Linked DNA regions of Stegostoma tigrinum. The protein of the gene in region 2 interacts with the protein of the main gene of each other region in a pairwise test. Links are inferred from orthologs where the notes say so. Each region holds a gene or a part of one and is shown on either strand. Other genes may lie near its edges.

Region 1 (7,599 bases), on a different chromosome or scaffold from region 2:
TGTGGACTTGATGGACCGAATGGCCAACATCCACATTGTAGGGATTCTGTGCTTGTATTTTGTGAAAACAGATGCAAAGTGTTATATATGAATTGTACCCTATCTTCCACCTCCAGGGGCAGGTTACCTTTTTGGAGTTTGAGACCAAACTCTATTCTCTTGCTCTAAAAATATATCGGACTGAAATCTTACTTAGTGTTTCTTTTACACATTCCCAGTAAAAACATTTGACACCGACTACAAAAGAGGTGTGCTAGTTATTTGCTTTTGTAGTTCTTGTCAGATTTGATAAATAGTTGCCTGCGAAAACTTTCTCAGAAATTCAGGAAATTAATTTCTACAAAAATAACTGTATTTTTTCTAATACCATTATAATTATAGGCAGCACTTATGGAACTGAATAACTTACTTTTCACATGTACCATTTAAAATTATGAGACTTTAAAACAGTGTAGAAATAATGTGAATACTTCATGACTGCTGAAAACTAATTCTGATATAGTCTTCAACACCTGACCACTTTAATATTTCTACATTCTACAATACTGATGTGCTACGACAAACACAGAACACTGGAGAAACTCAGCAGGAGAAACTCCACATTACAGAAGAGGAGGTGCTGGTAGTCTTAAAACGCAGTAAGATAGATAAATCCCCGGGACCTGATGAATTAGATTAGGTTTTGTTGTAACGTGCACTTCAGTACAAAAGTATGGGAAGCCTATCCCAGGACTTTGTTGGACGGTAGGGAGAAAATTGTGGGATCCCTAGCAGACATATTTGTATCTTTGACAGTCATGGGTAAAGAGCCCAAAGACTGGAGGGTTGGTAATGTTGTGCCATTATTTAAGAAAGGCTGCAGGAAAATAGCTGGGAACTACACTGCTAAGCCTAATGTCTGTGGTAGGTAAGTTGTGAGAGGGGCTTCTGACAGGCAGGTTTTACAGGCATTTGGTAAGTCAAGTACTCATTTGGGATAGTCAGCATGGTGCTGTGGATAGGAAATTGTGTCTCATAAATTTGATTGAGTTTTTTGAGGGGGTGACCAAGAAAATAGATGAGGCCAGTGTAGGGGACATTGTTTACATGGACTTTAGCAAGGCCTTTGACAAGCTACTGCATGGTATGTTGTTAAGGTTCAATCTCATGGGTCCAGGGAGTGCTAGCCAATTGGATACAAAATTGGCTTGAAGGTAGAAGACAGATGATAGTGATAGAATCTTGCTTTTCAAATTGGAGACCTGCGACCAGTGGTGTGCAACAGGATCAGTGCTGGGTCCACCGTTATTCATCATTTACATAGATGATTCGGATGACAGTTTAGGAGATATGGTTAGTAAGTTTGCAGATGACACCACGATTGGTGGTATAGTGGACAGTGAAGAGGGTTATGTGGGAATACAGGGAGATCTTGATCAACTGGGCCAGTGGGCTGAGAAATGGCAGATGCAGTTTAATTTAGATAAATGCGAGATGTTGCGTTTTGGAGGGTCAAATGAGGGCAGGACTTACACAGTCAAAGGTAGGGCCTTGGGGAGTGTTATAGAACAAAGAGACTGAGGGGGAAAAATTCATAGCTTCTTGTAAGTGGAGTCAAAGGTAGGCAGGGTGATGAAGGCAGCTTTCGGCATGCTTGCTTTCATTGAACACAGCATTCAGTATAGGAGCTGGAAAAAGATGTTGCAGCTGTACAGGACACTGGTAACGCTACATTTGGAGTGCTGCAAGCAGTTCTGGTCGTCCAACTACAGAAAGGATATTATTAGAATAGAAAGAGTGCAGAAAACAAATTTACTAGGATGCTACCTGGCCTGGGAGGTTTGAATTATAAGGATAGATTGAATAGTCGGGTACTTTTTTCCCTGGTGTGTAGGACACTGAAGGTTGACTGTCTAGAGGTCTATAAAATCATGCGAGGCATAGATAAAGTAGGCAGCCGACAGCTTTTCCCCATGGCAGGGGAGTCTAAAACTAGAGGGCTTAGGTTTAAGTTGAGAGGGGAGAGATATAAAAGGGTCCAGAGGGGCAATCTGGCAGATAGAGGGTGACGAGTGTCTGGAATGAGTTGTCAGAGGTAGTGGTGGAGGAGAATACAATTTTGTCATTTAAGAAACATTTGGATAGGTCCATGGATGGGATGAGTATGGAGGGATATAACCGAACATAGACAAATGGAATTAGTTTAATTGTGGAAAACTGGGTGGGATGGACAAGGGCCTGTTTCCATGCTGCAAACCTGTATAACACTATAAGCAGGACTGGCTGCATCTGTTGGGAGAGAAACAGTTACCATTTCAACTGCAGTTCTGAAGAAGTCTGCTTCTCTGCCAACAGATGTGGCCAGACCTGCTGAGTTTCTTCAGCATTTTCAATTTGGTTCAGTTTTCCAGCACCTGCAGTATTTTGCTTTTATTCCATTTGAGTTAGAACTCAGTTACATGTTACAATTACTTTTAAAAAAAGAACATATTGGGTAACAGGAATCCTTCAGTGCCAGCTTAGGGTTAAAAAAAGGAAGTTACTTTCATATTTATTAATATTTGGTACAATGGACTGCAGTTAGGTTGTGTAATCAGCTTTTAGGAGCTGAGTGAATCTTATGATTGACAAAAATGGATCAAATGCCAATGGAATAAGTCCCTAATCTCCACTCAGTTAAATCCTATCTCTCAATTGATCAGCTCCAATTAGTCCTTCTTCCACCATCGGTTGTTTAAATAAAGGCTATACAGAAAACATTCTTGTAAAGACAAGATTAGAAACCGAAAGCACTACAAATCTATGCAGATTTCACCGAGTTTTTCCAACTCCTACTGGAGAAAACACATGACCGCTCCGCACTGTTATATTTACTTGCGAAAAAATGTTTCCGTCCTTTACATAGATCAACATTTTGAAAGTTTCTTTTTCCCATAGATCACCACGTCAAACGGAGAATGATGGTCTGAGGGCTGAGTTAGAATCCGTGAGACGCAGTGGCATAATTCTGATTTTTTTTGTAAAAAAAAGAAACGTTTTGTTTATACTGCACGGATCCAAGGTTGAATTAAACACGTGGCGGGGGGAAAGGTGCAAAGTTTTACTCGTACCTTCGGCCTAAACGATTAGAGTCGGCACAAGCTCGAAGAACAGGAAGCAAACTCCTCTACAGTTGGTTGTTTGGTGACAAATGCTACAAAATGTATCGAGACTCAGAGTTCAGGAAATGAGTGGAGCTGAAACTGAAGGCTCCAAGTGACCAGCATCGCCCATTGGCTGCTGACTGAAGTAGCCACAGATCTGAAAATTGTACGGCCAAAATAAAAAGGCTCCGATCGCAGGATTTGATGGAGTCCCTTTCCCCTTCCCCACTCGGAGTTCCCGGACTGGACCAAGTTCCTGTGAGCTGAGAGGGTGTTTCCAGTGCGGGAATGCCTCATTGTCCCGGAACACTTACACGGCTGACAGGGAATTTCCAACTAATCACCAACAACCTACTTTCAAAAAATTCAATTCCCCTTTCCCCGCCAACAGGGAGTTAGATTTTCGACCTGTGGGGAAAATGGGGCATTTTGTTTTGTTGCAGACCGCTCAGAGCGAAGGTTTGGCAAGCAGACGATTTTCACTCAAACCTTCCGCTGCAAACTGACCCCCTCGAAGGTCCAGGACTAGGTGCCGAGGGGCGCTCTTGAAGTTTCTGGCAGCCAAAGCTCAGTAGGGACAGCCCGCCCTCTAAAGTCTTTCTTCCAAAATATGACGAGGGTCTGTTCAGTTATCAGAACCCTCATTGCCTCAATGTATGCAAATAGTGTTTTGCTTGAGTAAGAAATCCCTTTCAAACCGGTATGACAGGTCGGCACAACATCGAGGGCCGAAGTGCCTGTACTATGCTGTGATGTTCTATGTTCTATGTTTAGTTTTTGCAACTTCAACGAATGTCAAATTTCAATGTTTATTTTTCCTTGATGCTCAAAAGCCGTGTAGAACTGCTTTAGTACTTATGAATATTGATCATTTTTTATGAATAAAGTGTATTTTTGCAATGAAAAACCAGCTCTGCTTCAGTAAAAGAGAAACACCAGTCATGTTTGGACATCGAGCAGTTTTTCCGCTGCCTTCGCCTCTGCGCTTACTTCTCTAACCGGGAGCCTAACCCTCCCTCCACTGACCCCTTCATCCGCCTCTAACACTGTGGATGCCACCCCCAGGCCTCCGACCCTCCCTTGACCTCTTCATCTCCAACTGCCATTGAGACATCAATCGCCTCAACCTCTCCACCCCTCTCACCCACTCCAACCTCTCCCCCGCAGGACGGGCAGCCCTCCATTCCAATCCCAGCCTCACCACAAAACCCGCGGACAAGGGAGGCACAGTTGTAGTATGGTGCACTGACCTCCACATTGCTGAGGCCAGATCCAACTCTCCAACACCCCCTCCTACTGCTCCCTGGATCATGACCCCACCCCTGAGCACCAAACCATCCACAACCTCATCACCTCAGGAGACCTCCCACTCATAGCCTCCAACCTCATTGTTCCCCAACCCCGCACCACCTGCTTTTATCTCCTTCCCAAAATCCACAAACCCACCTGCCCTGGTTGACCCATTGTCTCTGCCTGCTCCTGCACCACCGAACTCATTTCCACATATCTGGACTCCATTTTCTTCCCCTTGGTCCAGGAACTCCCTACCTACGTCCGTGACACCACCCACCCGCCCCCCCCCCCCCCCCACTTCCTCCAGAACTTCCAATTCCCTGGTCCCCAACACCTCATTTTCACCATGGATGTCCAGTCTCTATACAACTGCATTTCCTTGCAGATGGCCTAAAGGCCCTCTGCTACTTCCTTGTCCCGCAGGCCCAACTAGTCCCCCTCCACCGACACCCTCATCAACCGAGTTGAACTCGTCCTTACCCTCAACAGCGTCTCTTTTGATTCCTCCCACTTCCTACAGGTGAAGGGGGTGGCCATGGGTACCCGCATGGGCTCAAGCTATGCCTGCCTCTTTGTAGGTTACGTGGAACAATCCCTCTTCCGTACCTACACTGGCCCTAAACCCTGCCTCTTCCTCCATTACATCGATGACTGTATCAGCGCTGCCTTGTGTTCCCAAGAGGAGCTCGAACAATTCATCTACTTCACCAACACCTTCCATCCCAACCTCAAGTTCACCTGGACCACATCCCTCCCGTTCCTGGACCTATCTGTCTCCATCTCAGGCAACCACCTAGAAACCGATGTTCATTTCAAGCCCACCGACTCCCACAGCTACCTAGAATACGCCTCCTCCCACCCACCTTCCTGCAAAAATCCCATCCCCTATTCCCAATTCCTTTGCCTGCACTGCATCTACTCCAAGGATGAGGCATTCCACTCCCGTACATCTCAGATGTCCTTGTTCTTCAAGGACTGCAAATTCCCCCCTGCAATGGTCGAGAACGCCCTCAACCATGTCTCTCACATTTCCCACAACTCATCCCTCACACCCCACCCCCGCAATAACCACCAAAATAGAATCCCCCTCATCCTCACATACCACCCCATCAATCTCCGGATCCAACACACCATCCTCTGACACGTCCGCCATCTACAATCCGACCCCACCACCAGACTTTTTTCCATCCCCACCCTTGTCTGCTTTCCGGAGGGATCACTCTCTCTGTGACGCCCTTGTCCGCTCCACACTTCCCTCCAATCCCACCACACCCAGCACTTTCCCCTGCAACTGCAGGAAGTGCTACACTTGCCCCCACACCTCCTCCCTGACCCCAAGAAGACTTTCCACATCAAGCAGATGTTCACTTGCACAACTGCCAATATGGTATACTGCATCCACTGTATCCATTGTGGCTTCCTCTACATTGGGGAAACCAAGCGGAGGCTTGGGGACCGCTTTGCAGAACACCTCCGCTGGGTTCGCAATAAACAACTGCACCTCCCAGTCGTGAACCATTTCAACTCCCCATCGCTTTCCTTAGACGACATGTCCATTATGGGCCTCCTGCAGTGCCACACCTTTGCCACCTGAAGGTTGCAGGAACAGCAACTCATATTCCGCTTGGGAACCCTGCGGCCCAATGGTATCAATGTGGATTTCACAAGCTTCAAAATTTTCACTCCTTCCACTGTATCCCAAAACCAGCCAAGCTCGTCCCCACCTCCCTAACCTGTTCTTCCTCTCACCTATCCCCTACCACCTCAAGCCGCACCTCCATTTCCTACCTACTAACCTCATCCCGCCCCTTTGACCTGTCTGTCCTCCCCAGACTGACCTATCCCCTCCCTAACTACACTCACCTCTACAGGCTCCATACACACCCCTTGTCTGTCTCCTCTCCACCTATCTTCTCCTCTATCCATTTTCAATCCGCCTCCCCTCTCTCCCTATTTATTTCAGAACCCTCTCCCCACCATCTTTTCTCATGAAGTGTCTAGGCCCAAAACGTCAGCTTTTGTGCTCCTAAGATGCTGCTTGGCCTGCTGTGTTCATCCAGTTCCACACTTTGTTATCTCTACTTTATAAAGTAGATGGTCAGAAATCAAACAACACCACATTGTAGTCCAGCAGGTTTATTTGAAATCACAAAGCTTTCAAAAGGACTGCTCCTTTAATCACATCATATAAAAGGGGAGAACAGTATATTTACAGCAGGCAATCACAGAGGGTGTCATGTGCATAATGTGTGAATTAAATAAACTTCAGAAGGTCTGGTCAGATAATGGGAACTGCAGATGCTGGAGAATCTGAGATAAAGTCTGGAGCTGGATGAACACAGCAGGCCCAGCAGCATCTTAGGAGCACAAAAGCTGACGTTGCAGGCCTAGGCCCGCTTTTGTTCTCCTAAGATGCTGCTAGGCCTGCTATGTTCATCCAGCTCCACACTTTGTTACCTCAGAAGGTCTGGTGGCATCTGTGGAGAGAGAAACAGAGTTAAGGTTTTAAGTCCCAATGTGACTTCTTCAGAAACAGGCAATATAGTTTCTAAATGCTCCAATTAGTCATAAGTTGACTCTGATTCATTGGAATATTAGGAGGTGGGTTCAAAATTTAAGAAGTCCACTGGGCACTGGGTGACTGAAGAACCAGCTATCAATGGTGGAGCACATACAAAAGAAACTGTCCATTAAAGGTTATCAGGGAGGGTGAGGTAGTAAAGGACTTCATACAAGAATGATCATTTTATCATTTAAGTGCAAACTGAGAACTGATGTACATCGAAAGAATAGAAGCCTTATGTTCAGGATAGGAAAGAACATGCTGCTCTCTCAATTGGCTGGAGTTCGTTGAAGGTGGAAAACAATGGACTGGTCAAAAAGAATCAGGTTTGGAGACAGCAAAGTTTTGCCTCAAGACCTCAATAGCTGAAGGCCAGATGCATAGATTTTAATTAGTCAGGGAAACTAGCATTATAGGGGGAATAAAAAAGGCATAAAAATTTGGAGTTGAGGATCACCAGATCAACAATGATCTCATTGAACAGTTGAGCAGACTGGAGGGGCTGAAAGGCCTACTTCTTCACCTACATCTTGTGGTGAGCTCACAGCATCATCACTCTGTCATGGCATTTTGCTAAGTTTCTGTTGACCTTTGATTGATTGTTACTGTGCCCTATTTGGC
Region 2 (7,504 bases):
GCCTGTGCTCCAGACCAGGCAACATGTTGGTATATCTCCTCTGCACCTTTTCCAATGCTTCCACATCCTCCCTGTAATGGGGCGACCAGAACTGTAAGCAATATTCCAAGTGAGGCCGCACTAGCATTTTGTACAGTTGGAGCATGACATCACGGCTCCAGAACTCAATCCCTCTGCCAATAAAACCTAACACACCGTATGCCTTCTTAACAGCACTATCAACCTGGGTGTCAACTTTCAGGGATCTATGTACATGGACACCAAGATCCCTCTGCACATCCAAACTACCAAGAATCTTTCTGTTGACCTAGTATTCTGCCTTCCTATTAATCCTCCCAAAGTGAATCACCTCACATTTATCCGTATTAAACTCCATTTGCCACCTTTCGGCCCAATTCTGCAGTTTATCCAAGTGTCCCAGCAACCAGCAACATTCTTTCACATTGTCCACCACTCCACCGACTTTAGTGTCATACGCAAACTTACTAACCCATCCACCTATGCCTGCGTCCAAGTCATTTATAACGATGACAAACAGCAGTGATCCCAAAACAGATCCTTGAGGCACACCACTAGTGACCGGACTCCAGGCTGAATATTTTCCATCAACCACCACTCGTTGCCTGCCTACAGAAAGCCAGTTTCTAATCCAAACTGCTAAATCTCCCTCAATCATGTGCCTCTGTATTTTCTCCAATAGCCTACCATGTGGAACCTTATCAAAGGCTTTACTGAAGTCCATGTACACCACGTCAACTGCCCTACCTTCATCCACATGCTTGGTTACCTTTTCAAGAAATTCAGTGAGGTTTGTGAGACATGACCTGCCCTTGACGAATCCATGCTGACTATCTCCAAACAAATTGTTGCTTGCTAGATGATTATGAACCCTATCTCTTATAATCCTTTCCAAAGCTTTCCCTACAACCAACGTAAGGGTCACAGGTCTATAATTACCTGGTTCATCTCTACTGCTCTTCTTGATCAAGGGCACAACATTTGCAATCCTCCAGTCCTCTGGTACTAAACCTGTAGACAATGAGGACTCAAAGATCAAGGCCAAAGGCTCCGCTACCTCCTCCCTAGCTTCCCAGAGAATGCTTGGAAAAATCCCATCTGGCCCAGTGGATTTATCTGCCTTCACACCTTCTAGAATTGATAACACCTCCTCCTTACTAACCTCAATCCTTTCAATTCTAGTAGCCCGTAACTCAGTCATCTCCTCTACAATATTCTCCTGAGTGAAAACAGATGAGAAATATTCCTTTAGCACCTCTCCGATCTCCACAGGGTCCACACACAACTTCCCACTTTTGACTTTGACTGGCCCTATTTCTACCCTAGTCATTTTCTTATTCCTCACATATGTTTAGAAAGCTTTAGGGTTTTCCTTTATTCTACCTACTATTGTCTGCTCATGTCCCCTTCTTGTTCTTAACTCTCTCTTTAAATCGTTCCTAGCTAATCTGTAACTCTTCAATGCCCCATCTGAACCATCTCGTCTCATCGTCACATAAGCCTCCTTCTTCTGCTTAATAAGAGATAGAATTTCTTTAGTAAACCATGGTTCCCTTATCGCTTCGTCCCTGCCTGACAGGGGCATACCTATCAAGGACACGCAATATCTGTTCTTAAACCAGCTCCACATTTTGACTGTCCCCACTTGTCGGCCCTTCGACACACTGTCAGGAAACTGTCCTGCACACGTTGGACAAAAACTGATCCATCCGATGTACTAGAGTTATAGCATTTCCAGTCAATGTTGGGGAAGTTAAAGTCTCCCATAATGACCACCCTGTTCCTTTCAGTCCTGCCCAGAATCGTTTTGCCAATCCTCTCCTCCACATCCCCGGAACTTTGCGGAGGCCTATAAAAAACTCCCAGCAGCGTGACCTCTCCTCTCCTGTTTCCGCCCTCAGCCCATACCACCTCAGTAGACGAGTCCTCGTCAAAAGTTTTTTCAGCCCCCGTTATAATGTCCTTGACTAACAAAGCCACACCTCCCCCTCTTTTACCACCTTCCCTGATCTTAATGAAAGATCTAAACCCTGGAACCTGCAACATCCATAAATAAATAAATAAATAAACAAACAAACAAACGTAAATTGTATCCACAAAGTCACCTTCTTCAAACAGTTGGGGAGAATGCTGGACACATCGATACCTTAGATCTTTGTTCAGGGCTGCTTTGCTTTTGACTGGATTTCAATCAAGACCAGTTCTGTGTGTTCAGCAGAGCTCAACACAGTAACAACTATTGAAAAAACCAAAAGAACCACGGGTGCTGGAAATCTGAAACAAAAACAGAAATTGTTTGAAAATCTCAGCAGTCTGGCAGCACCTATGGAGAGAAATCAGAGGTCACGTTTTGGATCCAGTGACCCTTCTTCCAAACATCCAAATTCATTTTCTTTTAAATTTTACATTATATTGTATATTATTTATACCCTATGTATTTCGAGAAGGTCACTTCTTGTTTTTGAATGCCAGTTGGCATACGCCCAACCTGCTCAATCGACATTTCATTCATTAGTTAAACTCTGCAGCCCAGGAATGATTCAAGTTAATTTTCTCTGTGAATGAAAATCTCCTTTTTCAAGTCATGAGACCATAACTTTAGGCATCTTGTGTGGCAGTGGTAGTGTCCTTATCTTTGATCTAGGAGGCCTAGGTTCAAGTCCCACCTGCTCCAGAGCTGTGTAGTAATATCTCTGAACAGGTTGATTCGAAAATAAACAGATCAAAACTTTATTCAGCATTCCAGGGGTGGTATAATCATGGGCCCTGTATGGGTGGTGTAAAGCTACCCCATTTTTATATTCCATTCACACAACCATACAATGTTTCTTCCAATTTAACATCCTTACGCAGCCAAGGATAACACATCCTTCTCAAAAAACTTTTCTTTTTCAATGCCATAAATATCTGTTGAGAGTTAATAATTATCTCCTTAGAAGTCTATTACACAATTTCTACCTTTTAATCCAATGTTGAGTTCATTTTAGCCAACTGCCTTCATTTTCTCATAATCACCTTTATTTAAGTTTAAAACGTTAGACTTTGACTCCTACTTCTCACATTTAAGCCTAATGGAAAATTCAATCATGTATGATTGCTATCACCTAGAGGCCCCTTTACTGTGAGGTTATTAATTATTTCTGAGGAAGGGTTACTGGACCTGAAACGTTAACTGATTTCTGTCCACAGATGTTGCCAGACCTGCTAAGCTTTACCAGCAATTTATGTTTTTATTTCTGATTTACAGCATCCGCAGTTTGCTTGGGTTTTATTAATTATTTGTCTCATTGAACATTATCAGATGTTGAATAGTCCAATCCACACCTGTTTGGACTAGCACATTCTGCTCGAAGAAATTGCCCGGATACATGCTATGAACCCATTTGCAGGCTATCTTTCCCAATTTGATTCACCCAAATTGCATAAGATTTAAGGCATGCAGGAAAAATCTGACAGGGAGAACATTTCTCACCAATAGCCAAGCTACATCTTGATCTTGTTTGTAAATGTAATATCAAGGAACCATCCAACAGGACCTGCCATCATCTTCTTTTCCTGGAGGACATCTAGCGCATTAGATGCAGATGACTGCCTGTTGGACTGGTCAAAGATCTTTACGTGCATGAACTTTACCATGAGGGGCAGATGGTACAACACAGTCCCAAGTAGATGCAACATTCTATGACAATGTGGATAGCGCCATCCTCCGTAACACTGGGGAAAGGTAGGACCTAAGCACATTGCTTGTGTACTGAAGGTATATGCACAGCTTGATGCAGCCACACAGAGAGCTAGTCATCAGATAGACAGTTGTTTGGTCGGTTCTTTCTTCCTTTGTTTAGAGATTTCTACATCATGTTCCAGTTTTTAACCTGCAGATAAAGCAGAAGATGGCTCATGTGATCACCACTGTAATGGAGTGAGGAATTTGCCAGACCTGCAGAATATACAACAACACTGGAAGAACCTGAGAAAGCTCTGATGCATAATCGAGAGGGAGTGTTGCTTCCACATGCTCATTTTTCTGTGTCACCCACTCAGGCTGTCTGAGCTGTATCCCCAGCACCTTCAGATAATCTGACTTGATGACCAAGAGAACATGTCAGTCCAGTTCTCAAGACAGCACTGCCTTGCTCTGGCCATAACCTATTTTGGCGAGCAAGGCCATTTGACATGGTCACAGATGCATATCAATCTACACACCGAAACTGGATCTGAGCAGAAGATGGTAATGTTATCCATATTGGAAGACTTTGACCGGCGACACCTGTCTTCGCTGAGTGGGACTATGTTTCCATTCTTCCCGAGGGCTCAGAAAAGGGTTCGATCCACCACAGTAGAGAGAGAGAGCAGCCCTGGCTGTAGATTGGAGCAGAAATCTTTCTGAAGCCATCCACCTCCGGTACCGCAGCACTCCTGTGAAATGGGACATTGAATCCATAATGTTGTGCCTCAGAAAGGTCGAATGCTGCATGAGCCGCTTACATCCTAGACAGGTATCTTTTCTTTTGCGGACTGGCCGATTGCAGCTTCGCCTTTGAAGTTTGCCTTGAAAGTCAGTTCTGGGTCAGGAGGCGGACACTTGTTGGGAGGAGCCCAGCCTGCGGCAGGCTGTTTATAAACAGCGGTAGCGGGGACGCAAAGCGGAGTTCACATCGGGAACGCAGTGTCTAAAGGGGAATCAAGCTGACACTGATACCCGGCACCACGAAAGGTCCCAGGCTGATTCGCGGGACGCGGATGAAGAAAAACCTGGTCTTACTGTACAAGTACTGGGGTCTCCAGAGAAAGAGCAAGAAAAATAAGAGGCGAAAATGACCAGTTACACTGTCCGACTAGCTACACCCCGGGACTGCGGCGACATCCTCCGCCTCATCAGGGTGAGCTCCTGTGTTGATCGGAACGATTGCAATCCACGGGGCGGCCTCTCGGCCCGTCCGGTCTGTGTTCGATCTCTAAGCAGCAGTCGTCGTCCCCCCCCCCCCCCGTCCATGCTTTCCCCTGTGACCCCGCGGTCCTTTTCTGCAGCTCGGAAGGGTCTGAAGCTCTTTTGAAAACATGGAATGAATCCGCCTCCAGCTCCCCCGGGAGTTTGGAGGTGGGATGAGGTCACTTGCCTCCAGCTTCCCCTTCCACGGGGTGGATCCTAAGGGCACACTGAGTATAAGCCCTCCCTCATGTGGTCTCGGTTCACTTTAACAAAATGTGAGGCTGGATGAACACAGCAGGCCCAGCAGCATCTCAGGAGCATAAAAGCTGACGTTTCGGGCCTGGACCCTTCATCAGAGAGGGATGGGGAGGGGGTTCTGGAATAAATAGGGAGAGACGGGGAGGTGGACCGAAGATGGAGAGAAAAGAAGATAGGTGGAGAGAGTATAGGTGGGGAGGTAGGGAGGGGATAGGTCAGTCCAGGGAAGACGGACAGGTCAAGGAGGTGGGATGAGGTTAGTAGGTAGGAGATGGAGGTGCGGCTTGGGGTGGGAGAAGGGGATGGGTGAGAGGAAGAACAGGTTAGGGAGGCAGAGACAGGTTGGACTGGTTTTGGGATGCAGTGGGTGGAGGGGAAGAGCTGGGCTGGTTGTGTGGTGCAGTGGGGGGAGGGGACGAACTGGGCTGGTTTTGGGATGCAGTGGGGAGGGGGAGATTTTGAAGCTGGTGAAGTCCACATTGATACCATTGGGCTGCAGGGTTCCCAAGCGGAATATGAATTGCTCTTCCTGCAACCTTCGGGTGGCATCATTGTGGCACTGCAGGAGGCCCATGTCATCTGAGGAATGGGAGGGGGAGTGGAAATGGTTTGCGACTGGGAGTTGCAGTTGTTTGTTGCGAACTGAGCGGAGGTGTTCTGCAAAGCGGTCCCCATTAGATGGCATGTCCATCATGGGTCTCCTGCAGTGCCACAATGATGCCACCCAAAGGTTGCAGGAACAGCAACTCATATTCCGCTTGGGAACCCTGCAGCCCAATGGTATCAATGTGGACTTCACCAGCTTCAAAATCTCCCCTTCCCCCACCGCATCCCAAAACCAGCCCAGTTCATCCCCTCCCCCCACTGCACCACACAACCAGTCCAACCCGTCTCTGACTCCCTAACCTGTTCTTCCTCTCACCCATCCCTTTCTCCCACCCCAAGCCGCACCTCCATCTCCTACCTACTAACCTCATCCCACCTCCTTGACCTGTCTGTCTTCCCTGGACTGACCTATCCCCTCCCTACCTCCCCACCTATACTCTCTCCACCTATCTTCTTTTCTCTCCATCTTCGGTCCGCCTCCCCCTCTCTCCCTATTTATTCCAGAACCCTCACCCCATCCCCCTCTCTGATGAAGGGTCTAGGCCCGAAACGTCAGCTTTTGTGCTCCTGGGATGCTGCTGGGCCTGCTGTGTTCATCCAACCTCACATTTTATAATTCTCCAGCATCTGCAGTTCCCATTATCATCGGTTCGCTTTAACCAGGTAGACCCATCGAGTCTCCTCTGCCATCCAATGAGAACATGGCTGATCATCATCAACTCCACTTGCCTGCCTTTTCCCCATAACCCTTGATACCCTTGCTGATTGTAAATATCTGTCTCAGCCTTGAATATACTTAATGATCCAGTCTCCTCTGGCAAAGAATTTCACAGATTCACTATGCTTCAGAGGGGAAAATAAAAGTCTTCTGTGTCAGTTTTCATTAGATAATACCTTTTTGAGATCATGCCGTCTGGTCCTAGACTCTCCCATGGGCTGGCTGAGTGGTGCAACAATGTCTCTTCAACTACTTTTATCAAGTCATCTCAGAATCTAGTTTGTCAATAAAGTGCCCACTCATTGTTCTAAACTCATGAGTATGGGCCCAACCTGCTTAACCTCTTCTCATAAGAAAATAATTGGAATCCACCCAGTGTACAGTCTCTGAAGTGTTTCCATTGCTAGTATATCTTTTCTTGGATAATGGGCCAAACTATTCACTATACTGCAGGAGTGTCTAACTATGTGGTGTCTTTAGCATGGCTTCCCTGTTTTCATATTCCATTCCCTTTGAAGTAAAGGCTGGCAGTCCATTTCCCTTTCCTATTACCTACAGGTGTAAACTTTTTGTGATCCATGTTTGATGGTTGCCCAGTTCTTCTGTGCTGCAGCTATCTGCAGTCTTTCCCCATTTAGGTAATATTCAGCTATCTTGTTCTTTCTGTGAAAGTGCAAACCCTCACATTTTCCTCCATTATATTGTACCTATTCAGCCTGCTTTGTCCTTCTGTAGATTCTGTGTCTTCATCACTACTTGCCTTCAAATTCTGACACAAGAATTTTGTGTCATCTGCAAACTTGGTGATGGAGCATTCACTTCAGTCATCAAGTCATTGATATATATTGGAAATAAATGTAGCCCTAGCACTGATCACTGTGATGCTCCATTTCTTACAGGTTCCCATTCTGACAATTCCTCCTTTATCTCAGTTCCCAGTCTTCTGTTAGTGAGCCAAGTATGTATCCATGATA

What was found. The genes of interacting proteins can lie anywhere in the genome.
Region 1: the proteins of diamine acetyltransferase 1-like (region 2) and casp7 interact in binary tests that used the Homo sapiens proteins (3 or more experiments, as listed by UniProt). The two-hybrid records come from large-scale screens. The link is inferred for Stegostoma tigrinum from reciprocal best matches to the Homo sapiens genes SAT1 and CASP7.

The regions. Positions count from the first base shown.
Region 1 is NC_081373.1:23,858,550-23,866,148, forward strand, and holds the start of casp7 (caspase-7), read right to left. Parts: upstream 3,040-7,599; 5' UTR 2,915-3,039; coding exon 2,854-2,914; intron 1-2,853. UniProt on the Homo sapiens protein: Thiol protease involved in different programmed cell death processes, such as apoptosis, pyroptosis or granzyme-mediated programmed cell death, by proteolytically cleaving target proteins.
Region 2 is NC_081365.1:77,559,707-77,567,210, reverse strand, and holds the start of diamine acetyltransferase 1-like, read left to right. Parts: upstream 1-4,436; 5' UTR 4,437-4,832; coding exon 4,833-4,898; intron 4,899-7,504. UniProt on the Homo sapiens protein: Enzyme which catalyzes the acetylation of polyamines. Substrate specificity: norspermidine = spermidine >> spermine > N(1)-acetylspermine. This highly regulated enzyme allows a fine attenuation of the intracellular concentration of polyamines.